Linked DNA regions of Tamandua tetradactyla. The main gene of each other region encodes a partner of the protein of the gene in region 2 in a complex. Links are inferred from orthologs where the notes say so. Each region holds a gene or a part of one and is shown on either strand. Other genes may lie near its edges.

Evidence for each region.
Region 1: the proteins of RHO (region 2) and GNAT3 are in contact, whole or in part, in a crystal structure (PDB 4A4M), measured with the Bos taurus proteins. The link is inferred for Tamandua tetradactyla from reciprocal best matches to the Homo sapiens genes RHO and GNAT3. Residues at the interface, in NP_001014890.1 of Bos taurus: Leu72, Arg135, Val138, Val139, Lys141, Thr229, Val230, Ala233, Thr242, Thr243, Lys245, Ala246, Glu249, Val250, Asn310, Lys311, Gln312; in NP_001103452.1 of Bos taurus: Ile344, Asn347, Leu348, Lys349, Asp350, Cys351, Gly352, Leu353, Phe354.
Region 3: the proteins of RHO (region 2) and GRK1 are in contact, whole or in part, in a cryo-EM structure (PDB 7MT8), measured with the Bos taurus proteins. The link is inferred for Tamandua tetradactyla from reciprocal best matches to the Homo sapiens genes RHO and GRK1. Residues at the interface, in NP_001014890.1 of Bos taurus: Lys66, Lys67, Arg69, Thr70, Arg135, Val137, Val138, Val139, Lys141, Ser144, Asn145, Phe146, Arg147, Phe148, Glu150, His152, Leu226, Thr229, Val230, Ala233, Gln236, Gln237, Glu239, Thr243, Ala246, Val250, Met257, Ile305, Tyr306, Met309; in NP_776598.1 of Bos taurus: Leu6, Glu7, Thr8, Val9, Val10, Ser13, Ala14, Ile16, Ala17, Ala18, Arg19, Gly20, Asp23, Ala24, Glu184, Asp185, Trp186, Phe187, Leu188, Asp189, Phe190, Val192, Arg195, Glu200, Gln205, Met206, Lys207, Lys221, Arg222, Thr256.
Region 4: the proteins of RHO (region 2) and SAG are in contact, whole or in part, in a crystal structure (PDB 4PXF), measured with the Bos taurus proteins. The link is inferred for Tamandua tetradactyla from reciprocal best matches to the Homo sapiens genes RHO and SAG. Residues at the interface, in NP_001014890.1 of Bos taurus: Arg135, Val138, Val139, Lys141, Leu226, Glu249, Val250, Met253, Met309, Asn310, Lys311, Gln312; in XP_010802144.1 of Bos taurus: Asp71, Ile72, Met75, Gly76, Leu77.

The regions. Positions count from the first base shown.
Region 1 is NC_135327.1:137,177,359-137,185,053, reverse strand, and holds the start of GNAT3 (guanine nucleotide-binding protein G(t) subunit alpha-3), read right to left. Parts: upstream 3,003-7,695; coding exon 2,885-3,002; intron 1-2,884. UniProt on the Homo sapiens protein: Guanine nucleotide-binding protein (G protein) alpha subunit playing a prominent role in bitter and sweet taste transduction as well as in umami (monosodium glutamate, monopotassium glutamate, and inosine monophosphate) taste transduction.
Region 2 is NC_135335.1:35,766,560-35,774,041, forward strand, and holds the start of RHO (rhodopsin), read right to left. Parts: upstream 3,020-7,482; coding exon 2,659-3,019; intron 1,000-2,658; coding exon 831-999; intron 1-830. UniProt on the Homo sapiens protein: Photoreceptor required for image-forming vision at low light intensity. Required for photoreceptor cell viability after birth.
Region 3 is NC_135330.1:184,470,469-184,477,988, reverse strand, and holds the start of GRK1 (rhodopsin kinase GRK1), read right to left. Parts: upstream 3,004-7,520; coding exon 2,305-3,003; intron 287-2,304; coding exon 159-286; intron 1-158. UniProt on the Homo sapiens protein: Retina-specific kinase involved in the signal turnoff via phosphorylation of rhodopsin (RHO), the G protein- coupled receptor that initiates the phototransduction cascade.
Region 4 is NC_135329.1:209,372,701-209,379,952, forward strand, and holds the start of SAG (S-arrestin), read left to right. Parts: upstream 1-4,244; coding exon 4,245-4,319; intron 4,320-7,252. UniProt on the Homo sapiens protein: Binds to photoactivated, phosphorylated RHO and terminates RHO signaling via G-proteins by competing with G-proteins for the same binding site on RHO. May play a role in preventing light-dependent degeneration of retinal photoreceptor cells.

The DNA.
Region 1 (7,695 bases), on a different chromosome or scaffold from region 2:
CACAAAATAAAAAATAAAAACTATTATTGGAGGAAGGAAAGAAAGGTTTTAAATTGGGATCAGTAAAATACTGTAAACAACTGAAAGTGTTATTCAAGAGTGTGCTCTATATATTGTTTGCAAGATTCTTCTCTTATCACTGGTGATCAGAAAGAAGCCATACTTCCTATGGGGCTGCAAATCTAATCCAGTTCTTATAATGCAAATTTGCAAAACTACAAAGAGAAGAAGTGCCATAAAATAAGAAATAAATCAGAAGCTGAAATTTGAAGTAAAAGACATAAAAGAGAGGAGACATAAGAAAAACAGAAATTGACATGCTGAATCCCTCCATAATTAATGATAGGTATTTCTTTTGAATAAAAAAGTTTTAGTCAAATATTATTTATAAATAAAGACTCAAATAACTACCTTAGGAAGTCTACAAAGTAGAATTTTGTTTTCTTATTAAACTGTAATCTTTTCTGTGGCATGTTTACAGGCTCACTTTTTTTTTTTAAGCACATGGTATTATTGTCTTGAAAGCAGCTATCAAATGCTTTTTACTTGCATCAGCTCCAGTATTTTCTAGAAGCCTACTTTTTGCTAAAGAAACAGTTTTAGCACTGTTCTGTAATTTTAATTAAGGTCTGAAAGGCATAATAAAAAAGAAATCTGTCTGCAAGGTGATTCTTTCATTGTAAAGTAGCACTTTTATAGTTCTTCAGATTTAGGGAAATCTTGTGTCCAATATTTCAAATGGTACAACAAGTTCACGGTATATATTAGACTTGTAACACTGGTGTTAGGTGTTTAAGGACTTAGACATTCACCAAATAATAAGAACAGATTCAAAATGAGGAATTAATTCTGTTAAAAGCAATCTTTAGATTTTTTATTTTTTGTGAGACTCAGAATCGGATTTCAAACGGTTAGTCTCACATGATACATGCGCATTAATAAACTTTGAAAACTCTGGTTCAGACCACACTAATGAATACCATTGCTTCAATGATGAGACAAATTAAATAGTCTTCGTTGGCAGAGGGGTACTGGCTGTGTAGTGTTTGGAAGGTTTTGTTTAGTACCATGGATATCTTTGCTGTCATTATGTGGCCAAAATGAATATAAAAATTAACTTTTAGAGAACTTTAGTTCCATTTGAAAATGTGAACTAAAGAAGAGATATTGAAAGACCTTTTGATTTGAATTTAGCAATTGAATCATGACAGAATTCAGAGTCCATAAGGGATAACTAAAATGTTTGGATTGTAATTGAAACAAGAAAAACTTAAGAGAATTTTAATCGTTTTGAAGCAATAAAGAAGTGATAGGAAGATTCAGTGCACATAGTGTTGGAATAAAATAAATACAAGCATGTTTTATGGCAATGAAGAACTGAATGCAGGAAATCACGATTGTCTTGGAAAAGTCAAAATTGTAATTGTACTGTTAATGATTCTTTTATACTTCTGTACAAAATTTACTCTCTCCCAGATTCAACCCAGCACTAATTGGATTTAAAATCAATTGGCATATTGAAAAAGTAGGTCTATTTTCTGAAATTTTATACAAACATAGGGAATTTTTAAATGAATTTTATCAACACTCTTATGCCAGTGTTCTTAGTACAAGAAATACATGAAATGCTTTTATAAGAATGTTTCATTTTCCTTCCCACCTTTTCTTTTCTTTTTCTATGCCTGAATTACTTCCACTCTTGATCAAAAACCTCAGCCAATACTTTGGAATCTTATACTGGTTTTATAAGTGCTCACCCAACATCCTTCTGTCACCAACCTCTAGGCGGTTACTTGAAAGTGCAGTTTCATGGGTGCAGCCACAGAACTTGTGTCTAAAGGAACAGAGAAGTCTCTTGCCTTTGAGGAGCTGGGAACCTCACAGCTGATTTATGAGACTCCTGATACTGGTAGCAAATTAAACGTAGTAAAGGAAAAATTTAAAACAAAAAACCAAGACATTTTGTTGTGTGAAGGAGTCACAATTTTGAAATGAAATAAAGGCCTTTTTTTTTTGTATAAGAACAGAGAACACCCACAACTGTGACTAAATTAAAGTTCTTGTTTTGTATTATTTTTATAGGTCTTTATTTTTATTGAAAAACATTTCTGCTTTCAGTGTGACCTTCTATGTGTTAAATTTTTAAGTTTAGAAGGATGTGTAGCATGGAGGTTATTTTCGTTCTTTCATGTCATTGAATATTTATTGAAGTCATAGCTGTGGTAAAGCAGCATGCTGAGTTTTGAGGGAATTAAAATATAAGAGAGAAACATTTTCTATTCTGAATAAATATACAAATGTCCTATAAGAACACAAATTGTGTGTAATTGAGCTATATAGGCAAGATCATGGGCAGTATTCAGGAGACTGAATACCATTATTAATACATTGAAAGTACTTTATCATATCCTTAAATTGGTTGAGACCAGTTGATTTTAATAGCACAAGTAAGTGAATAGCGTATTAACTTTGATGTCAAATAACGCAATATATTTGTGTTCACACAAAATATCATAGATCTTTATGACATAATTAAAGTGTTTTTTCTATATTAAAAAGTTGAAAATGACTAGGGTGCTATAAAATAATAAATGTGCTTGTTTCTTCCAATAATATTAAATTATATTATTGACATCAGGAAATAGAGTCATCTAATAAATATTTGACTTTCTGAGTAATAAGGACATGAAATAAAATACTAAACAGAAAAATATGTTATTAAGTATTTATAGAGGGCATGTAAAGTCTATTCAAGGTCCCAAACGCATTTTTATAATATATCTCCCATATAATAGTAAATTGAAATTAAATTTTGAGAAGTAAATACATCACAATTGAAAAAAAATCAGTGTTTTAAAAGTAAAAGGAAGAAAATATATATTACCTAATAGCAGTAACTTGACAGTTCTTGCATCTCGCGCAGCATCTTCCTGAAGCTTTTTCTCCAGTTCTTTTGACCTTTTGGCTGACTCTTTACTCTCTGAACTAATTCCGCTCCCCATCTTGTGATGTTAGACACTCATCAGTTATTTGTTCAAACTTTCCCAAATCAATGCTTAGGTGTGGACAAAGGATGCAAAAGCAATGTTTTGCTGAAGTACCCAACAGTCCATTCTCTTGGCCTTTAAAATTCTGCTTTGACTAAGGAAACACTTACTGATCTGTCACCTGATCAAGAGGCTAAACCCTACAATCCTGATGGAAACTGCAGAGGAAATTCATTATGCTTTCAAATTAAATGGCCACAGCTGGCACATTTTTTTCAAAACCTGCTTGCCTTCTTAAAGAATAACATGAAATAATACAGATGGTGGCAAAAAATCTTTCAAGATTATCTACAATGAGCAATTCAAACAGAATATTTCTCACGAATAGCTCTCTTTGCTACTCTGATTAAGTTATGATTACTATTAAAAAATGTTTGCTGCTTATCTTCAAATTTTTGAGTCACCAAATTCCTCATAATCATTCCTACATCACAATCAATATTCATATTAAATTATCCAAGTCTTATTCTTCTCTTTGTGCTTAGATTCAGATCACATACCCTTATGTTTAGACTATTAGCAATGGAAATGTTTTACTGTCAGTTAACTATAAAACAAACATTTCTGAAGAGCAAGAATAAATAAATATAGCTCATATTTATTCTTGTATTGTCAAAAAATAGAATTCACCATATACCTCTGTTAAATGATTGATTTTAATCTCAAAGGTTCTATCTCTATAAATTGAGCTTTTACTGCCTTTGAGAAAGTCAATCCATCAACATTAATTGAGGGCCCACTTGGTGTAGGTACTGAATTGTGTTCAATTTAGATAGTGCATTAACTCTTTGGGGCCATTAAGCAATAATTGCCAGCTGGAAGGAAATTTATAGATTTGGTACCAAGGGAAGGAAAAGCAATGATCCTTGAAATATTGGGTAATTCAATTATTCCTAAAAGTAAGAACAGTGAGTAGTCCTTTATATGTTCCACGCTACCCCATTAGATATTATGTACTTCTTAACGATCTATAGACTTGAGGGCAGTGAGTGTGTCTATATGGCTTATTTATGTGCAGCACAAAGGTCTTCATCGGTTTCAATCAATGTCTTCCTTATAAACAGAGCTAGCTACTTGTGGCTATAGTAGGCAAGTCTTTCATTGCATATTTTCAGACTTTTTGCTAGAAAATGCTGGAATACAGAGTCAGTCCATCAGCTTGTCAGTGCTGCTCTTCTCATGGGAGCACCTGCAAAATTTGAACAGGTGAGTTTTTGCATAATCATACAGCAAGGAAATAGGCTGCCAGGTTATATACATATTCCTGCTTTGTTTACTTTTTAACATAAAAATAGTAGGTTACAGATACATAAGCATAGTCAAAACTTTGTGTATCTCATCTCTCCAAAGCCATGTTATGATAGCATTAATAGTGGAAAGACAGGTACATAATGATTTATGCAAATCCTGTGACACTGCTTTTACGTTGCAAAGGGCCTGTCTCCAATGGAAGAGACTGATACCAGCCTAGTTTATTTATAGTCACCCAAGAACAGAGAGTCCACTCTGAAAGCCACATAAGAGAGCACAAATAATAAAACAATCTCTTTTTGCCCATTGCCTTAGTATCTATATTGATACTAGTACCTGAATATATAGGATTTTTATGTGCTCCCTAGCAAGAAAGGACCAACAGGATACTTCATATAAATTTTCATTCAAGTAAATACCCCATCCATGGCTTTTTGGTGGAAACATACCCTGGCTCTGATGGGGTATGCATTTTGCTAAGACTTCCTATGTTGCTTACGGACTCAAACTGATCAACTCCTTTGGGAATAGAAGTTTACATTTTTCTGCATTGTATGCAAATAATGAACTCCTAATTTTCCATGTAACCTAGAATGTCAGCAGCAAGTTTATGAGATTTTATGTTACACGTTTTCAATCCGTGACTAAAGTCTTTTTGACATAAAATTCAAGGTGCATCTGTGTTTAGGGCAGGGAGGAAGGGAAGAGCTGGAGAGTAGAGGAAGCTGGTTCCTCAGCCATCTCCCCTGGGTGCCCAGAACACAGAACCACTAATGAGCTGGGGCTTTTAATACAGCCATTAGCCCATGTTGCTTCACTCAGGGGTTCAATGTTCTGGACCTAATGAAGTGATAAAAATCAAAATTTTAAATTCTACTAGAGTAGGGACAAAATCTTACTAGCTTGGATGTTGTCCATAGTATTTGTCACAGGACTAGCCATAGGGAATGGTTAAAAAGTGACTTTTAGCCACATAATGGAGAGCTGCTGTCACCTCTGCTGAGGGGAATGTGTGGTTAGGCTTTTTTGCCAAAGCCCAAGATCATGATTGTGCTATGTGGGTACACTGGAAATTTTAGAGCATCTTGAACAAACACTGAAAAGTCTCAATTTTAGTCTATAATAGTGCCGCTATTTACAATTGCAGCTGTTAGTCCAACATTTACACTTTTTTTCTCAACTTTAAAAGTAATAGCAACACACTCCCTTTTAAATAAAACAAATAGTTAAAACTTGCTCCACATTGAGGGAAAATTGATAGACGATAACAGAAAAGTAAACTAAATTAGATGTTTTTTATTTGGTGAAAAATACAGCCATGGTTTTTATTTGTTCTCGAAAACAACAAAAGAATAACATAGAGCTATTCAGTAAACATCAATAGCATTATTAGAGTTATAAACATTGGCCAGCTAAGAGAGAAAACTGTTCTGTGTACACACACACACACACACACACACCCATGTCATGCACGCACCCAGAAAGCAAGAGAAATTGCATTGGAGGGCTACTGTCTTCTAGAATCATCATTAAAAATAACTTTTAAGAATCTTATTTACTTTGCATTACAGCATCAGGTATCTGCTTTCGGCAGTAGTACAAGAAAGAAAGTGGGGTTGGGGTTGAATACAGAGTGAGGCCTCCTCTCTAAAAGTCACTGAAACACCACAAGCCTGAACGATATGAATATTTTCCTCTTGCTGTTTTGGTCAAGGTCTCTGAGGAATCTTTGGAAATCTTTTTTTCCACATGGGCAGGCACCTGGAATCGAACCCGGGTCTCTGGCATGGCAGGCAAGAATTCTGCCATTGAGCCACCATTGCACCATCCAGGTATTAGCTTTTCAGAAATTGGAATAATTACTATTTCACATTTAAAATTCAGCATCAAGCTGGAAGTGACACGTGGTTATTTGCCACCTACTTTTAACATTGAGATTTCAACCTATTTTATTGGACAGACCTCTTTTGCCAGCATTACTTGGGCTTCTACAGTCCTCAAGCAGGATTTTCCCTGGGATTGTTTACGTGGCTGACTTCAGTGAGATGCTTCCATGACTTAGCTCCTGTTGGAGATTTTGTCAAGATTGACTGCCATCTGTAATATTCTGTATTTTTTTTCTATATCTTACAGGAGGTGTTGACTTTAGGTGTTAGGTCCCTGGGTGATTTGAGTCCTGGCTGCCTTAGCAATGACCTTTATCCTTGTATATTCCCATGAAATTTGAGGCAAACTAACCTTCTTTGCTACTGGTACTCAAATTTGACTTCTGGGAGCCCTGAGCATGGTATTTCCTCTGGAGAGTTCATGCCTTTTGGGGCTTCCAAAGAACGGCCTTTTGATCTTGCGGGAAAAAGCCATGGCTTGCTGTTTCAAGTTAGTACATTCAGACGTTGCAATACATCGCCAGCAGCTCTAAAGAATAAAAAGTAATAAAAAACATGTTTTTATTCGTTGGAGGTGATTCCACCTTTACCCCCTCTACATTCTTCTTTCTATGAATTAAGATATGATTGTGCATAATAAAGGTTGGAAATTGAGTCACAATTGTTTCCCAAGGTACTCTTCCTATCCCAAATTTTCCATTACTTTTAAGAAGTTTTTGCATGTCTCTTTTTAATGCAATTTTATTGGGCTATATTCATATACCATATAATCATCCAAAGTGTACAATCATTGGTTCACAGTGTCATCATATGGTGGTGCATTCATCACCACAATCAACTGTTGAACATTTTCTTTACTCCAGAACAATAAAAATAAGAAAGAACACCCAAATCATTCCATACCTCTTACTCTCCCTCATTAATTTATTTTTTATTTTCATTTTCTTATTCATCTACCCATATGCTGGATAAAAGGAGGATCAGTCACAAGGTTTTCACAATCACTTGGTCACACCGTTTGCATGACCCTTTACCACATTTCCATTTCTAGCTTCCTTAACCTAATTTTCACTTGCTATAGTCCAGATTATTTCAACAGACTCTTGCTTAGATTTCCTGATACTCAGCTCTGCCTTCCTTGTCCATGTCCAGCCTGTCTAATCATGACAGACTAAATTCATTCAAATACTGATTTAGTCATTATACTTCCTTCCTGCAAAACAAATAGCTCCCAACTAATTAGTGCCTCCTATCTTGATACTCTCTTGTCGTATACTCAGTAATTCAGTTAGCACCACCCAACTATCCAAACATATTTCCCATTACCCTCCTCATACGTTCTCTACCTTAGCCAGGCTAACGTCCTTCATAATAGGCATCACTTCTTAGCTTTCAGCCATGCTTTTTTTTTTTTTTTTTTTTACATTACTGGAAATGTCTTGTTCTTCCCCAGGTAACTTTTTGCACTGTACCCATTCTTTAAGAGACTCTAGAACTTATCATCCCCGTTA
Region 2 (7,482 bases):
TGCACTTGAGGCAGTTGGAGTCTCACTCTAGGAACTGGGTAAGGGTGGTTTCTCTAGGCCCTCTGAGCAGCTCTGGAAAGCAGGAGGCCCCTGGGGCATGTGTTTCGGCCTTTTCAATAATTCTGAGCATGGTGACATTGGAATGACACCAGAAAACCTAGGGCATCTGCTGGCTGAGCCTATGGAGGATGTAAGGGTGCCAGACTGGAGAAGACAAGGAAAGAGGAGGTGGAGATGGGCTGGAGTTTAGCCAGAGCTGAGAAATTGACTCCAGGAAGGGTGAGAGAGGATGAAAGGGAGGCAAGAATGGGATTTTCCCCAAAGCATGGGGAAATGTGGCCTCAGGAGCCACTTCTTTGACCACAAGCCCTAGAGTCATGGTTGTCCAAACTGGTGGCCCCCATCTCGCCCCCGTATGGAGACGGCAGCCTGGAGTGGACCCCATCCCGATCACAGTGTCACCATCTGCACTGAGATGTTTTGGCCTCACTGGTGTTGAGGACCAAGGTCAGAAGGAGCTGCCCATGAGGCCCTGGGCCAAAGAGGATTGCACTTGGCCCGGGGCTTAACTGGGGATTAGGGGCACCACCAAGGTGAAGCCTTGGGGCACCTTAGATTCTCCTTGACACAGGGACTCGGGTACCGGGACCAGTCCTCAAGGCAGCCTGGGGGTCCTCAGGCTTTCCTCCCCCTGCCCAAATCCCTATCCTGGGAGAGAGTTGCCAGGGCAGGCACTTGAGGCAGAGGATATCAAAGCTCGGTGTCTGGAACCAGACCACCTGGGTCTGAAGTCTGGCTGGGGACCCTTCCCTTCTGCTCAGTCCCATTACCTGGACCATCCAACGAGCGGGGGTGCAGCACAGGCCAGGGCCATGACCCACGTGAACGCGACGCCCATGATGGCATGGTTCTCCCCGAAGCGGAAGTTGCTCATGGGCTTACACACCACCACGTACCTCTCGATGGCCAGGACCACCAAGGACCACAGGGCAATTTCACCTGCAAGGCAGCCAGCCAAATTGGTCAGGGCACCACCTATCTGGACCCCACATACCAGTCTGGGGAGGGAGCACTCCTCTCAGGTGGGGAGCACACCTCCCAAGCAGGGAGCATTCATCCCAAATATGGGAGCACTCATCCATGTTTGGGAGCACTCCCAGAAAGATAAACTGAAGCAGGTAGAAGTCTGGACACTGAGAAGAGGAGGGAAGGGGAGGCGGGTGGGGAGGGGGTGGTGGGACCCAGCATGCCAAGAAGGAGTGAGCAGAGCAAATTCAGACACTGTGGAGCCCTTTAGGGAGGTTTAACAGAAGACCACGTCCTTCATGGGGCAAAAGGCAGGGTTCTTTAGTAGAAGGAGTGTAGAGGTGCAGGCTCCCAGTGTAGAGGTGAAGGACACCCCCTTCCCTATCTCTTGCATAGTAGCCTACCCCTTATAGGAAACTGAAATAACCTAAGCATGAGGACCCTCTCCTAGGTGCCATAAAGGATTGGGTAACACTTTTCCCAGAGGAAGAATGAAATAACTTCTTCATTCATGTCACCCCAGGAGCTCAATAGGTAGGGTGGCCGTTTAACTCATCAACTGAACTGGGACATTTCCGAGCATGAAAGGAAACACCACGAACGACTGACTATTCCAAGACGCTTGTAAACTGGAACTGACGCTGCAGAGGGGTGCCCACCTGCCTGGGGGCCCTCTGTCCCGCCCCCATCTTCTGATCCTAGTGAGGGTCAGAGATGAGCATTGAAGGTGACAAACATTCCGACGGTGGCCAGAGCCTGAGAAGAGGGGCAGGCGGCATGCCGGCTGCATGAGGGACAGGCAAAGCAAGGTGGGCAGGGTCATCCCCACCCAACACCCTGGCTTTGTAGCATCTTACCTCTCGCATCCCCTGCTTGCCTGGGCGACATTCCTGACTCAAGACCAGGAAACTGAGGCTCTGCCCTGCCCAGTCTCGTGCCCCTTTCCACACCTCACTTGTCTCATCTGCTAAGTAGATTCCATCATCCCTGCAGGACCCCCGCCAGTTTCCAGTCAAATGAAAGAAAATATTCAAAAGTACCTTTTAAAAGTACAGATTGTCACCCAATTCTAAGGCCCGCCTATGAAAGGGGTTGCTTCAGGTGATGAGCTTCCCGACACAAAAAGCATGTAAGCAAGGCAGAGAGTTTGGTGGGGGGCCCAAGAATCAATGGGCTGGGAAGGGAGTCAGATTACAGGCCAGGGGAGGACTAAGTCTGGCCACCCCTAGCCCCCGGGGTCTGGTGAAGGTGTTCCGAGGGAAGCACAAGGCTTGGTACTCAGAAAACGGCCCGCAGAGCTGCGGAGATGTGGAATCCAGTCTCAGCTCTGCTCCCCACCCCACCCCCGTCCCCGTGTAGACTTCCTCAAGGCTTGACTTGTCCCTGACCCTAGGTTTCTCTGCTGTAAAAAATGCGGCAATTAGCCCCAATGCCAATGAAATAAAGACTGTTGGGTGGCTGTCTTTGTCGTCAGGCAGCCCGGCTTTATCCCTAACAGCTTTTATTGATTGGGTAAACGAGAGCCTCGGCTCATGGTCGGAGAAGACCTCTCTCAGCCGCCACCCCGTGGCCCGAGACGGCCCCAGGGTCCGCTCCCCACCCCTCACCCCGCTGGGGCACCCCGGCCCTTACCGCCTAGGGTGGCAAAGAAGCCCTCCAGATTGCAGCCCGTGGGCCCGAAGATGAAGTAGCCGTGCAGGGAGGTGTAGAGGGTGGTGGTGAAGCCGCCGAAGACCATGAAGAGGTCGGCAATGGCCAGGTTGAGCAGGATGTAGTTGAGGGGCGTGCGCAACTTCTTGTGCTGGATGGTGACATAGAGCGTGAGGAAGTTGATGGGGAAGCCGAGCACGATGAGCAGGAACATGTAGGCGGCCAGCATGGAGAACTGCCACGGCTCGGCCAGGTAGTACTGCGGGTGCTCGAAGGGGCTGCGCACCACGCCGCTCTTGTTGGAGAAGGGCACGTAGAAGTTGGGGCCCTCGGTCCCGTTCATGGCGGCGGCGGCCCAGGAATGCAGCTGAGGCCCGAGCTCGGCCACCCAGGGCTCCGGCTGGACAGCCTCCGGCTTCTGACACCCGCCCCCCCACCCCCCAGGCCCTGATAAAGTGACCTCCCCCCCCCCCACGCTCCGGGCTGAGTCAGCACCTGGGAGATCGGGGCTGTTATTAAGCATATTAATAATCCCCGCACCACCACGGGAGCCTAATTGGCTTCCGAGGTTGGGGTTCCAAGGTGACACCAGGCAGAAGCCTTGGGGTGCGGAGGGGAGGGGCTGGGGGCCTGGGAAAGGGAAACAGGGCCTCCCCTGCCGGCTTGTCTGTCCCTCTGATGGCTCTGGACTGGGTCCCAGGGGACCTTTGGAGCCCCTGCCCGTTTCTCCCTGGCTTGGTGTGAGCTGAGTTCGAGTCTCTCCCTCGCCTGTCCCTTCCTTCCTTCAGTTGCTGCACGGTTCCCCTCTTCCCTGGGCCCTGGCACCAGCTTACCTCAGCAGATTGGGAGCGTGGTGAGGGCAGAAGCTACAGCCTGCCAGCTGTGATGCCCCCAGGGCCAAATGCACAGGAGTTTGTGAAGGCTTTGTTGCATTGAATTGGAATCCACTCACCCATCACTTGATCATTAAACATTTACGTGGTACACAGCGTGGGAAAGGAATGGCCCTGCCTGGAGGGGCTCACAGACCAGGGAGGGCTTGAATGGGGAGAAAATCGGTTGCAGCCCAAGGGGGGTGTGTGTGAGGCCATGGGCACTGGAGGAGGCAGTCAGGGGAGGCCGCGCTTGGGTTCTTGAGGGCCGGGGAGTGGTTAGCTAGATTGCCAAAGGGGCATGCCTGTGCGCAGAGAGGGCTAAGCAGAGGCCTGGGGGCCATACAGGAGCTGAGGGGCAGGGGAAGGGTTGGGGCCAGCTCTGATGGCCCTCGAATGCCAACCCCAAAACTGACTTTATCCGGAGGGCAATGGGGAGTGGGCTGGGCAAATCTGAGGGCTGAGCGAAAGGAGGCTTGAATGCCCAGCACACATGACTTGGAGGGAGTCAGGGCGGATGAGGGGACCAGGAGGGGGTGCCGGAGCTGTGGGGAGGGCACAGGGCCCCTCAGGCATGGTGCTGTGTGCCACAGTCCCAGCAGTGGACGGGGCAGTCTGAGGGCTGCTCCCGGGTGGGGGGTGCACTGTGGAGTGGGGAGAGAATGAGCTTCAGGGACGGACAACTTGGGGGCTGAAGGTGGCAAGTCACCATTTCTCCTTGTTCATAAAAGAGGCGGGTGGTAACACCAGCCAGGAACGTCATGCCAGTTAGATGAGGGACCAATGTGGGGCTCCCGGCAGGCCCCAGCATGTGTGTGTGTATGTGTTGGGGGGTGGGTGTATTTTTATCTTTTCTTTTGTGCATGGCCCAGGAAGCGAACCCGGGTCTCCCACATGACCATGTGGAAGACAAGCATTCTACCACTGAACCACCCGTGAATCCTATGGGAGGGTATTTGACAAATGTTTATCAAGTGCCTACTCTGTTTCAGGGAGACCCAGCAGGGATCAAGCAAGCCCGGCCCTCAGGAGGTTTGCATTTTAGTGGGGGGCCATGAGGAGGCCACAAATAAGTCAGGGAACCAATAAAATTAGGAAATGCTCAGAGAATAACAAGAAAATAAAGCAGAGGCCCTGTAAAGACTCCCCCACCCTTCCACGCGCTGTTTTATAGTGAATAGCTGGGGAAGGTCTACCCCGGAGAGGGCAAGTTTGAGCTGAGAGCTAAACGATGGATGGAGCCAGCATGCTGAGACGGGGGAGCGGGAGGTGGCCAGGCAGAGGAAACCCCACGTCCGAAGGCCCCACGGCAGGAATTGAGCCGGCCAGGGTGAGTGTCCCTGTCCCTAGGCCACCCTCCCCGAAGCCCTCTCACCCGCTCTCTCTTCCCTCCCTGGGACTCCTCCCTCCTCTCTGCTCAGAACAGGGCATCTCCCTTCCCTCCAGCCCACCCAGGCCTGCAGAGGCCTCCCTCATCCGGGCAAGTCGGTGGCCTCCAGGGCTTGTTCCACAGGTGGGTTTGGTGGAATGAGTGCAGCGCGTGGGGTGCCGACCTCCCCCCCGGGGGGAAGGTGATTAGGCCCAGCGCTAATGAGGTCAAAGTGGAAGGTTTGATTCTGATGTGGACCCCGCAGGGTGGGGAGGTGTGAGGGACAGAGGATGAAGGCCTGCCCGGATTTCCCGGGCCCAACCTCCCAGCCTCACGCCAGCCCTCCAGGATCTCAGCACCCAGCTGGGCTCCTTCCTAATGCGCGTGGCGGTTTGGAAGCATTATTTCTGTTCCGCCCATGTGTCTCTTGTGCATCTCCCAGGCTGAGCTCCACCAGGGCCAGCCTGGGTCTGTCTCGTTCACGAGGGGATCCCCAGAGTCCTGTGTGGTGCCTGGCATGGGGCAGGAGCCTCGTGAATATTTTTCCCCACCACTGGAAAGAGATTTGTCTCTTTTGGTCACCTTTGTATCTCCAAAGGCTGGCACATGGTAGGTGTTCAATAAATATTTTTGGATGGGTACACCAAGTCTCGGTTTCTTCCTCTGTAAGAGCATTTACTAGTCCCAACCTCGAGAGGCTATGGGGAGGATTAAAGGCCAAACACGGAAGTAACAGGTGCTCTGTATTCTGCAAAGTATGTTAAAGGACTTTTTTTTTAAATAAAAAATGCTCTTCTTTCTGAGAACAGGCTCCCAGAATGAGCTGGAAGTGTTATTAGAGGTCACTTCTCTGAGCCTCCCGGCTACATCCCACGGTGAGTTGTTGGGTCCCCTGATGCCCCTTCAGTCCATCCTGGTGGCTTTATGAGGCATCCTTGGGCCTGCTCATGCCTCCCCTCTCCCCGACCTGAGCCCCTGATCAAAGATAGCGCTCGGGGACAGATCTGCCAGCTATTCACACTATGGTATAAATGACTACAACAGAACCCAGCTGGGGTGATGGAAAAGGCCCAAAGGCTGGACAGACAGGCCTGGGGCGGACAAATGTCTCTGAGTGACCCTGAGACCCTGTTTCCTCTCTGTTGGCCTCAGTTGGCTGTGACTAGGAAACCTCTGAGCATCCTCACCCACCCACAGGCAGGGCGAGCCTAACCTGCTTTCCTGCTGCCCCACCAGTGCCAGGTTAGGGACGTACACACCTTACAATTAAGGCCTTCTGTCCTCCCCACACCGAGTGTCCTCTGGAAACATGCTGGCATCTGAACTAAGGTTTGGAGATGAGACATAGGCCATGTACCTGGCTTTGGCTCAGCCCCTTCCCTTCCCCTGCCTCAGTTTCCTAGTCTGTAAAATGGGAATAATAATAGCACCTCCCTTGCAGGACTGTTTGCAGTGCTTGGTAAGTACTTGATGAATGTTAGGTGATGCTGTTGTCTCACTGAATCTCCTTGTCTCAGCTCACAGAACACGTCTTTGGAAAGGCCTCTTTTGACCACCCTAAAACCAGCCTCCCCACCTGATCATATTCTGTTTTCTACATGATACTAATTGCCATCAGCAGTTGACTTTCTTATTTTTTGTCTGTCTCCTCTTGGCTGCCCATCTTATTCTAGAATCAGGGCTAGCCCAGCCTGATCACTGCTGCACTGCCAGCTTCCAGCCAACTGAGTGCTCACAAATGTTTGTTGAATGAATGAATAAACATGCCTGGCCCTTGAGAGGTGGGGTCATGCCCTCTGACCACTAAGGTTGATCTCCTCAGCTGGAACTTATCCGAGACAGTTCTGACCCCAAAGCCTGAGCTCTTTCATTTCCCCGGGGTAGGAAGTCCAGAGAGGGGTCCCTGGGCACATTGTTGGCTGAGCCCAGAAACCCAGGCTGGGAGCATGACGAGCTGGGAGAGGTGGGGACCGGGCTCCCCAGGAGGTGGCTGTCTCTGAGCACTTTGCAGGCTTCCCCGAGCCCTGGCACCTTGGGGGGGCCCCAGGTGTGGGGCTCTGACACCGCCCGTGGAGGATTAGGGGCTTAGCTGCAGGCACGCAAATAGCTCTTAAGCCCAGCCTGAAAGGTGCTGCTGGGTCAGCAGCCACCTCCTCCTCCTCGTTTCCCTCCCGTGGCTGAGCCCCACCTGCCTCCATTGTCAAGGCTGAGTTAGGGAGTGAGCTGGAGAGTTAAGGGGGCAATAAAGGAAGGAGAGGAAACTTCTCTCCTACCCTCCTTCCCTTTCTAATCTCAACATCTGCCAAACACCATCTGCAGGTCAGGCCCTGGGCTGGGCAATGGGGACTCTGTGATGAGTCCAACACAGTCCCTTTCCTGGAGGGGCTTCCAGTCTCAGGGGACAGTGGACAAGGGGAAAATAATAACTGTGAGGAGTGGCATTTGCTCCCAGCCCTGAGGCTGTGGGAGCCCCGAGGAGCCAGGGGCAGACGTGAAGGGAGCCAGAAGAGCTCCCCAGAGTGGCTGGCCTGGGAGAAGAGCTTCTGGGCAGTAGAGACAGACCAG
Region 3 (7,520 bases), on a different chromosome or scaffold from region 2:
CTCCGATGGCACATCCTGAACGGCGCAAGCTCTGCCTGAGTGGGCAGCAGGCCTGGCCGGGCCCCAGAGATCCTCTTACCAAGCTTGGCCTGTGGGGCTCACTCCATCCCAGGTGACAGCCAGGACACCCTCCCCCTTCTGGGGAAGGTTCCATTTACCTTATGTCGCCTCCATTCATGAGGGTCATCACCAGACACAGGTCAGTTTTGGTTTCAAACGCATAGGCCAGAGAGACTATAAACCTGCTATGGAGTTTCGCTAGAATCTTCTTTTCTACCATGGCACCCTGAAAAGCAAGATGTTGAGTAAGTATCCAGGTTTAGGGGGAAAATTGCCATCCCCATAAAAGGTCAAGTTCCACAAGACAAGAAAGCCTCCTTTAGGCCATGTGCTCTGCAGTGCTGCCTACTGAGTAGCAAGCACAACAAAATAGAAACATGGCTGGAGATTTTTTTTTAAATACTTTGCAAATAACTGATAAACAGTGTCACTTTCTTTTTCACAGACAGAAAACCTGACATGCGAAATTCATGAATGAGCAGAAGACTTCCCCAGGTCTTCTGAATCAGTTTCCAGGCAAGGCAATGCTCAAATATAGCAGTTTTTAAAAATATCCTATTAAGATCCCACCTCCTCCCCTGGCAGCTCTAAATGTCTCTAAATGTATCTGCTTTCCCTTACAGTTCTTCCTTATGTCTAACCACCTTGTCTTGCTGCAATCTCTGCTCCTTTCCTCCTGTTCAGGGATCTGTGGAGTTGGAGAACAATTGTACAGTGCCCTTCCAAACCACCTCACATCTCCATTTAGTTTTTTATCTCTATTTTGATACCTCATCCTGTTTCACTGTTCTTAAAAGCTGGGTTTAGAAAAAGAAAGCAGATTCCTTTTTGCAGAAGGAATTCTTCATGTTGAAGGAGGCTCCTTTCCACCTAGAATTCAATGGAAGTACTTTGTGTTCAACAACGATACTGAACTCAGGGGATTAAAATTACAGTTAAATAAGTAGGAGGGATAATTACTTCCACTCCAAGCCCCACAGTGAGAGCGCTGTAGATTTGTCTGGATACCTTCATTCAACTGGTTGCCACAGGCATCTGACCTTTAACCTTTAGCTAATGGGCCTAAATCACAGGTGTGCCTAGCCTACTGTCAAGACGACCCCTAGCTGGCGGATGCTTGGGGTGGCTGCTGTTTAACCCTAAACACCTTGTCTGCCCTCAACACTGTCTGTGCCGTGCAACTCAAAAGGGAAAGAGAAGCTTATGGAGCAGAAAGTGCAGCTGGGGAGGCTACTTCAGGAGATGCCGACCTAAGGCATTTTAATCAGCTTTCCCTGATCCTGCCCTAAATGGACATTCTGACGCCAGTTAGGAAAAGAGGATAAAACTTAGGACAACCTGAATGTGCCTTCCCTATACTCCCATTCCCTGTGCATTCAGGAAAAACAAAAACAAAAGCAAAAATCCTCACCCCTGTGTTAGGGAGGGGCTCTGCCTCTGTAAACATGTCAATCAAAGTGATATTTGATTGACCCAAATCCTGCCACAATTTCTTGTGCATTCTCCATCACCTTATAAGCTAGAGCTTTAGGGAGAGTCTTTCAGAAAGCCAGGATAGAGCATCTGGAACACCAATCCCCTAAGTAACCTTTCCCTATAAGACACTGTTTCTCCTAAACTTGCTATTGTATTTCAGTGGTGTTGGTAAAAACAAAGACGATCAAATGCAGAACATCAGCCACACCAAAACATAATAATCATCATCATAATAAATTTTAAAAATGCTAAGATCGGTTTCTGAACAGAGAAATCTGCAAATCCCCTGTCCATGTTCCAAGCCCAAGGTTAGTTATTAAAAGCAGCTGGGCAAGTTGAATCACAGACCTGGGAGGGAATTTAGAGGTCATACACTTTGCATCCTCCTTGCCCCACATTGTGGCTGGAAAACAGCAGGCTGCAATGCCACCAAAAAAAAAAAATGTTTAAAGGGACTAATTTTGATGTGTGATATTTAAACGTGGTATATGAGTAAACACTGATGGACTAGAAGTCTAGCCAACGATTGCACAACTGAAGAGGGTTTGGATGTTCAAAGGGCAAGGTTACCATCCTTTCCAAGGCAAGGTTGCCTTCTACCTCGGGCATGAAAGCCAGCTAAGGGGGCCCTGTTTGGAGACACGGGACACAGATTCGTCCTCTAGGCTCTAATCTAAATGCTGACACTTCCCAGCCCCACCCTGCCCTGCCCCGGGAATCTAAAAGCCATTTACTTTGCACTTGCTGTGAACTACCACGGCTGCTTACTTGGTACCCCTTCCTTTTCTTCAGCCTCTTCTTATTCAGTTTTTTACAGGCATACAACTTGCCAGTGGCCTTCATCTGGCAGACTGACACCTCCCCAAATCCCCCTTTCCCCAGAATCCTGAAGTCAAGAAACCAGTCCTCCCCCAGGGGCTGGGCCTCCAGCCACTTCCACTGGAGGAACCGCTGGAAGTACAGACTGCCCAGGTACCCCTGGAAAGGGGCTTGGCTCAGGTGCGCCAGGGTGGCGTCGAGGAGGGGCTGGAAGAGCCCGTCCTGCACGGCCGCGTGCCCCTCCTTGACCTTGGCCGTCATTGCCTCATCCAGAAAGCGGCAGAACAGTTTGGCCTGGGGGTCCAAGTACTTGGCCAGGATGGCCTGGGCCTTCTGCAGCCGGAGGTCATCATCTGTCGTGTCGTAGTCCTCGATGTCCTTCCAGAGCTCCAAGGCCGGCTCGTGCCTCTCCTCCGTCTTTAGGAACTGCTGGAAGAGCCGCTTGCCGATGGGCTGCTCGCAGCACACACTTTCAAACTCGAGGCTGAGGCCCCCGCGGAGGGCCTCGCACTTGGAGAGGGGGGGCAGCCTGAGCTTGGCCAGGTACTTCCTGTCCCGGGGGGCCTGCGCGCTGCTCCCGTCGAAACTGCAGCGCGCCGCGATGAAGGCAGAATTGGCCACCACGGTCTCCAAGGACCCAAAATCCATCCTGGCGGCGTCCCGCGTCCGCCTCAGGCATGAGAAGCCCCGGCCGGCGCCGGGCCCTAGAGCGCGCCTTCAGGTGGGGACTGACCCGTCGCCGCCCTTGGCCTGCTGCGCCCTTGCTGCCCTCGTGGGGACAGGGCAGGCGTCCCGGCGGCGCGGCGCAGCCTGGAGGAGCCGCTGGCGAGTGTCCGCAGCCCCAGGGCCCGACGCCGCGGCTGGCTAAGCCCGGGCCCCCGGGCTGTGACGGCGGGGAGCCGAGTTAGAGGTGACCGGCCAGCGCCGGACAAAGACAATCCCCCTAAGCCACCTCCTAAACGGATTAGACCGATAATTCAACTCCGCGCTCTTTCCTCCGGCCCCATGTCTTTTCTCTGCAATCAACGCCCGTGCTCCCTGCGCGCCCCGTGCTCCCTGCGCGCCCCGCGCTGAGGAATTCCGAGCCGCACATTCCTTCTGAGTTGCTCTTGGGTTCGACCCTCTGAAACAAACGGGGGTGGGGTGGGACGCCTCTGCCTGTCTCCTGGCTGGAAGGACGCGGGGCTACAAGGTCTTTCCAGAAACTTGAGGTCTGCAGAGAGGCCCTAAGACACAGCCCAAATGTGAAGGGGAGGAGGGAGGCCCCAGGGACAAAGCTTAAGTCGCTAAAGATGGCTGCTGTTTTTTTTTTCCCCCCAGGCTGTACTTCATTCTTATCCTTAAAACAAAAAAAAGAAGGACGCGCATGAGAAGAAAACAACCTGATAGCAAGAATTTAATGAGAGAGAAAAAATGGACGATGAAAAGCTGCTGCCTATGTCCTGGGGTGAAAGCGCCGACCCAGCTAGGTTCTACTTCCTACCAGTGTAGGAGGGCTGAGATTCCTCTCGACCTGACACCTGATTTTAAATTAGCCAAGAGAGCAGTGTGGTTGACCACGTGTTTCCTTGAACTGATCTGCAGATTAAAAAGTCCTGTAGTGGGCGCAGGTACTGGCTGAGGAATCCCGCTCAGCCTCGTTTTTCTTCTTCTCATGTCAGCATTTTTCCTCTTCTCATTGCTGGCGGGGCAGAATTGCCAGGAGAAATGTTCAGATGAGATTTGGTCGGAGAGGCAGGGGACGTGGGGGCCTCTAGCAAGGGTCTGAGACCCTGTGCAGAGATAGCAGGTGTGTCTGAAGGAATGAAGAGCTGGGGACAAAGCTGGGGACGCTGCCACAGAACAGAATGCCAGGGGCCCGAGGGCAAGACCACGTCTGTCCTGTTGCCACTGTGTCCGCAGCACCTAGTACATAATGGGTGCGCAGTAGCTTGTGGATGAATGATGAGGAAGTGAATAGAGGATCTAATACAGCTTAAAGAGAGGAGGTAGTGGTGAGTCTCAGAAACAAAGGATGCCTGAGCTGGAAGGGCTCAGGAGGCCGTCTAGCCCAGCCCCACCTCAAATCAGTCATAGGAAAGGAGGAACCAGGAGGACAACGGGATTCCTTAAGGGTGGGGGGGAGCAAGGGAAGACAGGTGGGATCCTCTATCACAATTGGAAAAATGTAAACGAGAACGTGCTGTGCTGAGAGGTCATGACCCCACTCCTAACAAAGGAGGTTTAAGGCAGGTGGATTGAGTGAGTAAATATTTGAAGCTGATATTGTTACATTATTCCCCCAGGAGACCTATGCTTGTCCCAGCCTTGCTACCTGAGAGCAGGTGACCTTGGGCCAATCACTCTGAGATTCAGTTTTCCCTAGGAAACTTCCTGTCGGCCCCATTAGGTTTGGAACGGGACGGTGGTTTTCCCGGTGCTTTGGAAAATGTCACCCTACACCAGTGATTCCCAAAATATGTTCCAAGTCAATATTTCTCAAACTTGAACATGCAGATGAATCCACCTGGAGATCTTGTTAAAATGAAGATCCTGCTTCAGTGGCTCTGGGGTAGGGACCAACATTCTGTATTTCGAACAAGTTCACGGGTGACATGGATGCAGCTGGCCCAGGATGGTGCTGTGTGTAGCAAGGATCTAAGGAACCCAAATTCCTGGATTAACATGAAGATTTACCCTGGGGAAGGGGGCTGTTCCTCGCTTAAATGGCGTGGGAAACATTAGACTGAAGAAAATTTAACCATGTTTCTTTATTGCAGGACTTATTCAGAGATTCGAGAATGAACATGGTTCTCTAAGAGAAGTAAAGTATGCAGTGTTTCCCAACTTATTTGACTCTGGAATCCCCCACCTTTTTTTTCATTAAGTTTTTTATTTTGAGATAATTGTGGGTTTATGCAATTGTAAGATGGTTGGGAGAGAGTCCGTGTACCCACTACCTCGCTACTCCAACGAGAACATCTTGCAAACCAGTCGGACAGTGTCACTGCCAAGACATTGACATGGACCACGACCTCAGGGGCCCCTTTTGCTGCTCTTTTACAGCCAGGCCCACTTCCCCCTCCCTGGTCCCCTCCCCTCTTTAATTCCTGGCAACCACTAAATCTGTTCTCCATATCCATAATGTTAAAATAAATGCAATGAATCTACAGCATGTAACCTTTTGGGATTGGCTTTTTTCCCCTTCAGTGTAATTCTCTGGTGCTTTATCCAAGTTGTTGCATTTTTATTGTAGTAGTGTGCTAACGTGTGGATGTATGGCAGTCTGTTTAACCACGCACCCTATAGAACATTTTCTACTTCTTGATATTACAAATAAGGCTGCTTTGAGCATTCATGTACAGGTTTTTATATGAACATAAGTCTTCATTTCTCTGGGATAAACGCCCAGGTGTGCAACTCCTGGTCATATATGACAGCTGCATGTCTAGTTTTTTAAGAAACTGTCAAACTGACTTCCAGAGGGGTTGTTGCATTTTATGTTCCTACCAACAATGTATGAGTAATCCAGTTTCTTCACGTCATCGCTAGCATTTGGTGTTCTATTTTTTTAAATACTTTTTTACTGACAAATGTTTACACAAATATAGAGAAATGCAATTGATTTTTAGGTGCTTCCCTGTGACCTTGCTGAATACACTTAGCTGGAAGAGCTTTTTGGTAGACTCCTTGAGATTGTCTAACATACAATCAACGGCTCACAATATCATCACGTGGTATTCTATTTTTTATTTCAGCCATTCTGATAGGCGTGTAGTTATATTTCATGGTTTTCATTTGCATTAAATGCCTAATGAGATGAACATCTTCTCATGTGCTTCTTTGCCATTGGAATATTCTCTCTGGTAAAATGTCTCTTCATGTTTTTTTGCTCATGTCCTAACTGGATCATTTGCTTTTTACTGAGTTTTGATAGTTCTTCATTCTGCTGCTGTGTCCATTCATTAAGCTTTTAATTTTGATAATTTTATTTTTCAGCTCTAACATTTCCAGTTTGTTCTTTTTCATATCTCCAATTTCTCTGCTGAGACTTTTCATTTCTTTACTGAGGCTTTCTGGTTTGTTTATTTTCAAGCATCTTCATAATTGCTTGTTGAAGCCTTTTTGCCATGGCTGCTTTAAAATCTTTGCCAGATAATTTTAACATCTCTCTCATTCTCTGTGTTCATACTTATTGTCTTTTTTGTGGTTGTTCAGTTTGAGATCTTGTTTCTTGAGTGACTTTTTACTGACACTTGTGCATCTTCATGTTATTATGTGAGACACAAGATCTTATTTAAACCTTCTGTTTAGTTGGTTTTCCTTGACACCACTCTGCCAGGGGTATAGGGAGCACTGCCCTGCTGCTGCCAGGTAGAGGAAAAAGTCCAGGTTCCATATTTGACACCCTTGATGCACAAGGCAGGGAGCTCCTCACTGCTGCTGGGGAGGACTGGGAGTTCTGGCTCCCCACGTTCTCCACTGTGAGGGAGCCTTGTTACCGCTGGACAATGCTGAAAGTCCTGGGTCCCCACCAGGCTTCCTGTGACACCACGTAGGTGGGAAGGCAAAGAGCTGCCTTGTCGCTGCCATGTGGAGGTAGAAGTACGGGTTCCCCACATTGTTGGAAACCCATTTTTATGAAGCATCTAGTCTTACTTTTTCTGAGCACGCTTTGGGAGAAATGTCCTCTAACAATGTCACTCTCCCTATCTCTCCTCCCTACAAGCACCTGCCTATAAAAGGTCATTTTGATTACAGATGTACAGTTCAACACATACGTGCATTCTCCTGCAAATTCAGAGACTAACTGGGAAAGACTAAGTTCAAAGACATTCAGAGAGAATTCATATTTTGCTCATTTTGACAGCATCTCTATAGTTTAAGAACCAAAGTAATGCATCTATTCTTCAGAGAGTGGTTGCCACACAAATGTATCTTCAGACTGCTTGCATTCTGTGATCTAGCCTCACACCCTGTGTGAGAATTATTGTTAAAATCATGAAATTGTAGATGGAACAACTGGCAAGGAAAAGTGGGTAGGATTCCTCTATTAAGAAATCACGAGGGTGCACAGGTGGCTCAGTGGTAGAATGCTCGCCTTCCATGCGGGAGACCCAGGTTTGATTCCTGGACCATCCACCAAAAGGAAAAAAAAAGATTATGAGAGTCCAAGCTAAAATGAT
Region 4 (7,252 bases), on a different chromosome or scaffold from region 2:
TTCCATGAGGGGAATGAAGAGACTAGAGAGAAAAAATAGATTCTGTCTCTTTAAGACTTCTGTGTTGCCTTTGCTTGAGCGGATTTGAACAATGGCTGTCCTCAGAGCTGGCTCCCAGTGAACTGAAATAGCTGATCAAAAGCGGTGATTAGTGATCTGATCACACACACCCCTCTCCCTGATTTTGGAGGACTAGGTCCTTAGAGGAATCCTGGCACCAGCAAGTTGCATCAGGAGTCTGCGCTGCAGTCCCCACTGCTGTCTGCCACACGGCTAGGAGATAGGGGATAGTAGCTGCTGTATAGATGGTGAAATTCACTAGTATTTTTCACGATTTCCCAGCCTCTTCCTCCAGCTCTTCCCTGGATACTGCCCAATATTCCAATAAACTCCACAGTTTCAAAATAGTTCATTCAGATAGTTCCTGCCAGCTCAATAGTTGTTTTGATAGAGAGACTGATTCCTGGAGCTTTCTACTTTGCCTTCTTCTCACAATCCAGATATATGTTTAAATGTATAACAGTTTTATATTTTAACCTTTCTGTTGTCATCAGTGTAATACGTGATTATCGAAGAAGATTGGAAATTTATGAAATTTACAGGCAAGGAAATTTTTAAAAAAATACTTGAAGCTTTATTTTCTCACCACACAGAGACCCCAAAGTTAGCTCCTTGCAGATTATGCATTTGTATGTAAACATGCATATATATTGTGATAGGTTGGATTACCCAGAATAAAACATGTTTGTAATTAACCCTACTTCTGTGGGTATGAACACACTGTAAATAGAATCTTTTGAAGATGTTAGTTTTAGTTAAGGTGTGGCCAACTGAATCAGGGTGGGTCTTAATCCTGTTATGGAGGTATCATAGGAATAAAGCCATGAGAAGGAGCCAGAAGCTAGAAGTCAGTGGAACCCAGAAGAGAAAGGAGAGGACATCATGTGATGGGACAGCCAAGGACCCCAAGGATGCCAGCTGGCCAGAACGCTACCAACCCAGGGAGGAAGCAAGCCTTCCAGTCTCTGAAACCATGAGCCAATAAATTCCCATTGTTAAACCAACTCATTGTGTGGTATTTATTTTAACAGCAGGGTGTCTAAGACATATATGTATATGTGTATATATAGCACATGTGCATGTGTATATGTTTACCAAAATGTGATCATACCACACATACTGTTCCACAACCACCTGTTTTCAGTCCCAATAATTTCTATAAATTATTCAATAAATTCTATCCCAATAATTTCACTTCACTGACACTCACTTGGCCCAAAGTGTCCTATGCATGCTGTTTGTCCAACTGGGCATCCAATCTGGGACCACAAATTGCATCTGGATGTTGAGTCTCATCGGTGTCTTTTAGTCTAGGACAGTCCCTTTTCTGTATCACTGATTATGGAAGACACTAGCCTCTTTACGAATTTGTCTGGTAGCTCTCTATGCTCTACACTTTCCATAAAACTAGAAGTGATGTCTAAAGGCTTGATAGTTTGTGCAGTTAGGATTCCACCTTGCGATGAGAAAGTAATCCATGTGATGTAGAAACAGCCATTTCCCCATCAACTCTTCGCCTAATGATTTTAACACCAATGAATAATCCTTGTCTGTGTTGACAATTTCACCAAGGTTTCTCAAGTGATGTTTTTCTAATTCTGTCATTTCTTTTACATTTATTAGCTGGCATTTTGTAAAGAAAAGTTTTATCGATTAAAAAGAAGTTTCCCCCAATTTTTAGGTGGTTGTACTGTTGTAGCTCAATAACTCACTGATTCAGTCAACATCTGTTAGGACCCCAGTTCTAGAAGCTGGAAATGAAGCAGGTATAAAACAAAAAACCTGTATACTCCTGGAACTTGCATTTGAGGAAGGGGGACAAACAGTAAACAAGCTGAATAAGTAAACTATCTTGTATGTTAGATGGTTATGAGTGCTACAGAGAAAAGTAATGCAGTAAAGGGAGAGAAAAGGGTTTGGGTAGGTGATTTGCAATAATGGATAGAGTGACCAGAGATATTCTTGCTGGAAAGGTTACAATGAAGTAAAGAACTAAAGGAATTAAGGGAGTAAATCATGTGGCTATGTGTGGGAAGAGTACTCCAGAAAAGAAAGTAGCAAAAGCAAAGACCCTGAGGCAGGAGTATGCCTGGCATGTTTAGACAAAAAAACGGCAGTGAACTGGAGCAAAGTGGACGAGGGCTAGAGAGGGGAGAAATGAGGTCAGAGGTCCAGGGGAGCCGGGTTGTGCACGGCCTCACGGACACAGCCCTGACTCAGGTGAGTAGGGTTTGGATAGGTGCTGGCACCCCAAGGCTCAGAACAGATGCTCTGCTTTCACTTGCTCTATCCACAGACAGCAGGTCAAGTTCAGTTCATCCACATGTTAGTGGCTGCAGCTCTTGTCCATTCATTCCCTGAGTGCCCTTGGGAGCCAGGCATTGTTCCAGGCCATGGGAATAAAAGATGAGAGAAACAAAAACGACAAGGGCTCCTATTCTCAGGCAGCACAGAGTCAAGTAAGGAAAGAGACCATAAAATAATCACCGAGTCAAATGCAACTGGCTTCTAACCTAGTCCAGGAAGTTGGGAAGGCTCCCTGAGGAAGTGATTCCCGAGTCAAGAGCTGAAGGGTAAAGAGTAAATGAGAAGAAGATTGCTCCAGGTAGAGAGTGTAGAGTAGGACAACGTGGAAAGGCAGGTAAGGAAGGGCATGAGGAGTTGAGGCTTGCTGCTGTGTCCTGAGAGCAGTGGGGAACCACTGGAAAAGTCTAGGCAGGAGGGTGATAGGAGTGGGCTCAGGCCTGGAAGTGTTGCCCTTACATGGAGAATGGCCTGGAGGGAGAGAGATGTCTGTAGTCAGAAGTCAGGACACTACGGTCAACAGAGGGGCCTGGACTCAGGAGGACTGGGTAGAGATGGGACGATGAAGACAGGCTGCAGAGGCATCAGGGACATGGATAGTCCATGCCAGCTGGATAGGCTGCTGGTGGAGCAAAGGTGTATCCAGCTTGGCTTGCACAGTACCAGGGTTCATCTTGAGGCTGACATTTCTCCTTGACCCTTCTGTGTCCCCAACCTCAAGGTTGCATTAGCTGCCTGCCAAGTTTAATTAAGTTTGTTAAGCACTTGAAAATCCCCTGTCCTGGTGATACCTGGGAATAAAGGGATAACCAGTCTATTTCCAGAACCCAAAGAGGTTTAGTATAAAAAGTAGCTTTCATTGAGCTGCTGTCCCTCCCACAGCACCTTCCCCAGGCTGGTTTGACAGCGCATGTGTCTGCAAGATCCTCCGCAAGGAGACTCACCTCACTTAAGGCTAAGAACTGCTGAAATGACCAATTCAACCATCTTGAGGTTAATCTAATTGCCATTCTGCTCCTTAAGTGGGATTTGGTTTCTGAACGCTGAGTCCCTGGAGCTCGTCATTGTCTCAAGATCCACTACAAATCCCCTGTGCACATCAGCCAGACACCTCAGTGCATCTCGGGGTGGGGTCAGTTGGATAAATAGAGCCAGCTCATTCAGAAGCAGGGGCTAGCTGCTCATCGGTGGAGGCCACAGGGACACTTTCTCCACCTCTCACCGGAGTCCATCCCATTGTTTGCTGACAAACCATAAGGTATAAGATAACCCTTGTCTAAACCTTCCCAGAACCCTTGGTGGGGGTGGGGTCAAGGAAAGGCAAGTGGACGTCCTAATGGACAGTTTCACATGGTCATTCTCTTCCAGTTTCCATGGGACTTGACTTGTTAAAGATACGCTGAGTGCATTTAACCCCAGACAGCTATGACTGTCTCTTAATTGTCTATAGGACTGGGGAATGGAGAAAGAGACAGCAGGAAAAGGGAAGTGTTGCTTAGCATGCATTGCTGAGTAGAACTCTTGTGGATTGAATATATTTTGAAAACCATATCTGTAATGTGATCATGTGGCGGGTGTCAGGAACTTTTTCTACCTCATTGCCAAAGATTCCTGGAGAGATTTACCATGAAATGTTTCAGGCTTATCAAAAAAGAATGTATAAAACACTTTTTAAAAAAGCACACTGCATTAAATGTTTAAAAACTAAATCAAGACCTTAATTCAGTCAAACATGGGTTTTGAGGCAGGTAGAAGGATATGCCCAATGATGGGCAACAACTCATGATTGGGTTTATATTTAGGATCTCTTTACCTTTTCCCAGCACACTATCACCTGACACATACCCTCAAGGTGAAAGAAGTTGCCAGGGCCAGGTACCATGGCAGGCAGCATGAAGACGAGTAAGTCTAGCCAAAATCACGTTATCTTCAAGAAGATCTCCAGGGACAAATCGGTAAGTGGTACAGGAGGGAGTGGGGATGATGGTAATTACTGTACAAAATATAACTAAATGGAGCCTTTTCAAAAATAGACATGATTAACACCAAAACCCTGTTCACATCTTCTCTTTAATCTCATCAATACTGTATGGTCCTTTGACCCTTCATTTCTCCCCAGTCTGTCAGTCCCCACCCCAACCTTCACATTTACTTCTTTTCCTAGCCAGCTTTGAACCCATTCCAAACAGGGTCCTGTCAGTACTTGAAACTCACCCTGCTCTTTGTCTATCATCTCACCTGCCTGGGGAGAGCCTCATGCAGATCAATGCGATGCCCTGCCTTCCCCAGCTGCCCAGTCTCAAGCCTCAGCTGAGCCTTCAGTGCCTGGACAAGTGAGGCCAGCACAGATGCTCCCTACCTGTGCACCACCCCTGCACTGTGGCTGTCCTGCCACCGAGGCCCTGGTAACCATCCATTGTTGGTTCCATCAGGGGCACGTTAGATAGTCTAGGAGTGTCCATTGGCTTCCTGGCGTGGGAAGCCTGATGGAGGCACAGTTGCAATCCACCAAAGCGGTGAGGGTCCTCTGTGACAAGATCCTGGCTCTACTTGCCAGCTTCATGGGGGCCGACAGTCTAGCTCAGTGCTGTTCTATGGAAATACGATACAAGCCTCATGTATAATTAAAAATCTCTAGAAAAGGTAAGAAGGAACAGACAACATTTCCTTTAATACTATATTTTATTTAATTCAATATATCCAAAAGTGATCATTTCAACATATAAATTGCATAGAAATTATTGATGATATGTTTTACCTTATTTTATCCTTATAAGTCATTGAAACTGGTGTGTATTTCATACTCCCAGCACTTCTCAATTTGGACTAGCCATATTCTGAGCCACAACTGACTAGCAGCTACCGTGTTGGACAGTACAGGTCTAGATCGTTCTTCCAGCTGACTTCTAAAGCAACACTGGGCCTAAAGGAAACTCTCTGACCCTTGTTGTGCACACAGGAGAGCCAGGCTTCACGCAGACACCCTCCTGCTTTCCTCTTCTGTCCTAGCTGGGCCATTCCACCATTTCCATCAAGTCCTCTGATTCTATGGGTGACATATTGGGTGCCCCATGCCTTTCGTTCTCCAGAGTCTTTTTCCAGCTTGTGATTTTCAACAGCCCACATCACTTTGACTTCTGGCAGAAGAGGAAAGACAATCACTTCTGCTGGTCCTCTTTGTTTCTTCATTTTTTTCCTCGCGCATAGTTAGACATCCTTTGAATGGAGTACTTTGCAATTTTTTTGCATATCAGTAGTCACAGGAGGTAGAAAATAATTCATCAATTTAATGTCTTGTGTTATGGTCACACCGACTACTCTTGGTATTAGGATCAATCAGCTGCAATCTATGTATGGCACCACACATGGCTTACCCGGGCCCTGGGCCGCTTTCCCTGTGGTTCTCTCCACTCTGCACTCTTCTTTGTCCTCAGGCTGATAGCAAGATGGTTGCCCCAGCTCCACGCATCTCTCCTCACTTGGCAATATCCAGAAGAAGGAAGTCTCTTTTGCTCCCAGGGGTTTCTTTTTAAGAATGAAGAAACCTTTCCCAGAAGCCCACAGCAGACCTTCTGTTATATTTCATTGACCAAAACTGGGTCACATGCTGTTTTGATTTGCTAAAGCTGCTGGAATGTAACCTACCAGAAATGGGTTGGTTTTTACAAAGGGGATTTACTAGGTTACAAATGTACAGTTCTAAGGCCATGAAAATGTCCAGATTAAGGCGTCAAAAGGAAGATACATTTTCAGAGGAAAGTCTGCCGGCATCAGGTGTTCTGTCACATGGGAAGGCACGTGGCAATATCTGCTGGTCCTTCTCTCCTCCTTTGGTTTCAATGGCTCACTCTCTCTCCTCTGGAGCTTTTCTCTGGATTTTTTTCCTTAGCTTCTCTCTGCTCTCTGAGTTTCATCTGTCTTTTATCCTCTCATAGAGGACTCCAACAAGGGGATTAAGACTCACCCTGAATGTCTTGGGTCACATCTCCAGGGGAACAACCTAATCATAGGTCTTACCCAGCAATAGGTCTGCCCAACAGGGATGGATTAAGAGAACATGGCCTTTTATGGGGTACATAATAGATTCAGACCAGGACACATGCCCGCCCTAAACCAATTCCAAGCAAAAGGAATTAGATGGTCATAGTTGGATCAGGCCAATCAGGAATCACACCCTGGGTCTAACTCCTTTTAGCACACAACACATGGAGGATGGTAGAACCTGAATTCAATTGGTAGCTGCTGTCCAGGAAGAAGGGGAGTATGGCTCTAAGGGGACAACCAGCAAGGTCATCTCTGGTCTCACATGATCCAGTCCCCCTTCTATACCTGCTTCTGTCCTTCTTCCCTTCTGATTACAGCAGAAGAGGTGTTCTTGCTCCCACCTGAGGTTCACCACTTGATTTCACCCTGGTCTCATGGCCAAATAGCTCCTTGGGTCCTCAGCTATCAGCCCCTCTCTGTCTGGACTTGTTATTAACCTCTCTCTCTCCCTCTCTTCTCTGAGCATGAAAACAAGAACAAAAACATTCCCTGACCCTATCCTCTTCGCAGCAATCTCCTATCTCTCTTTTTTTTCACAATCAAAGCATCTTAAAAACAAAGTAAACACCCATTCTCTCAACCTTCTCCCCTCCTGTTTTGGTTTGCTAAAGCTGCTGGAATGCAATATACCAGAAATGGGTTGGCTTTTACAATAGGGATTTATTAACTTACATTGTACAGTTCTTAGGCCATGAAAATGTCCAAATTAAGGCATTGATAAGATGATACCTGGACTCTGAAGACAGGCTAATGGCATCTGGGACACCTGTGTCACACGGGAAGGCACATGGCCAGCGTCTGCTGGCCCTTCACTCCTGGGTTTCGTTGCTTTCACCTCCTGAAA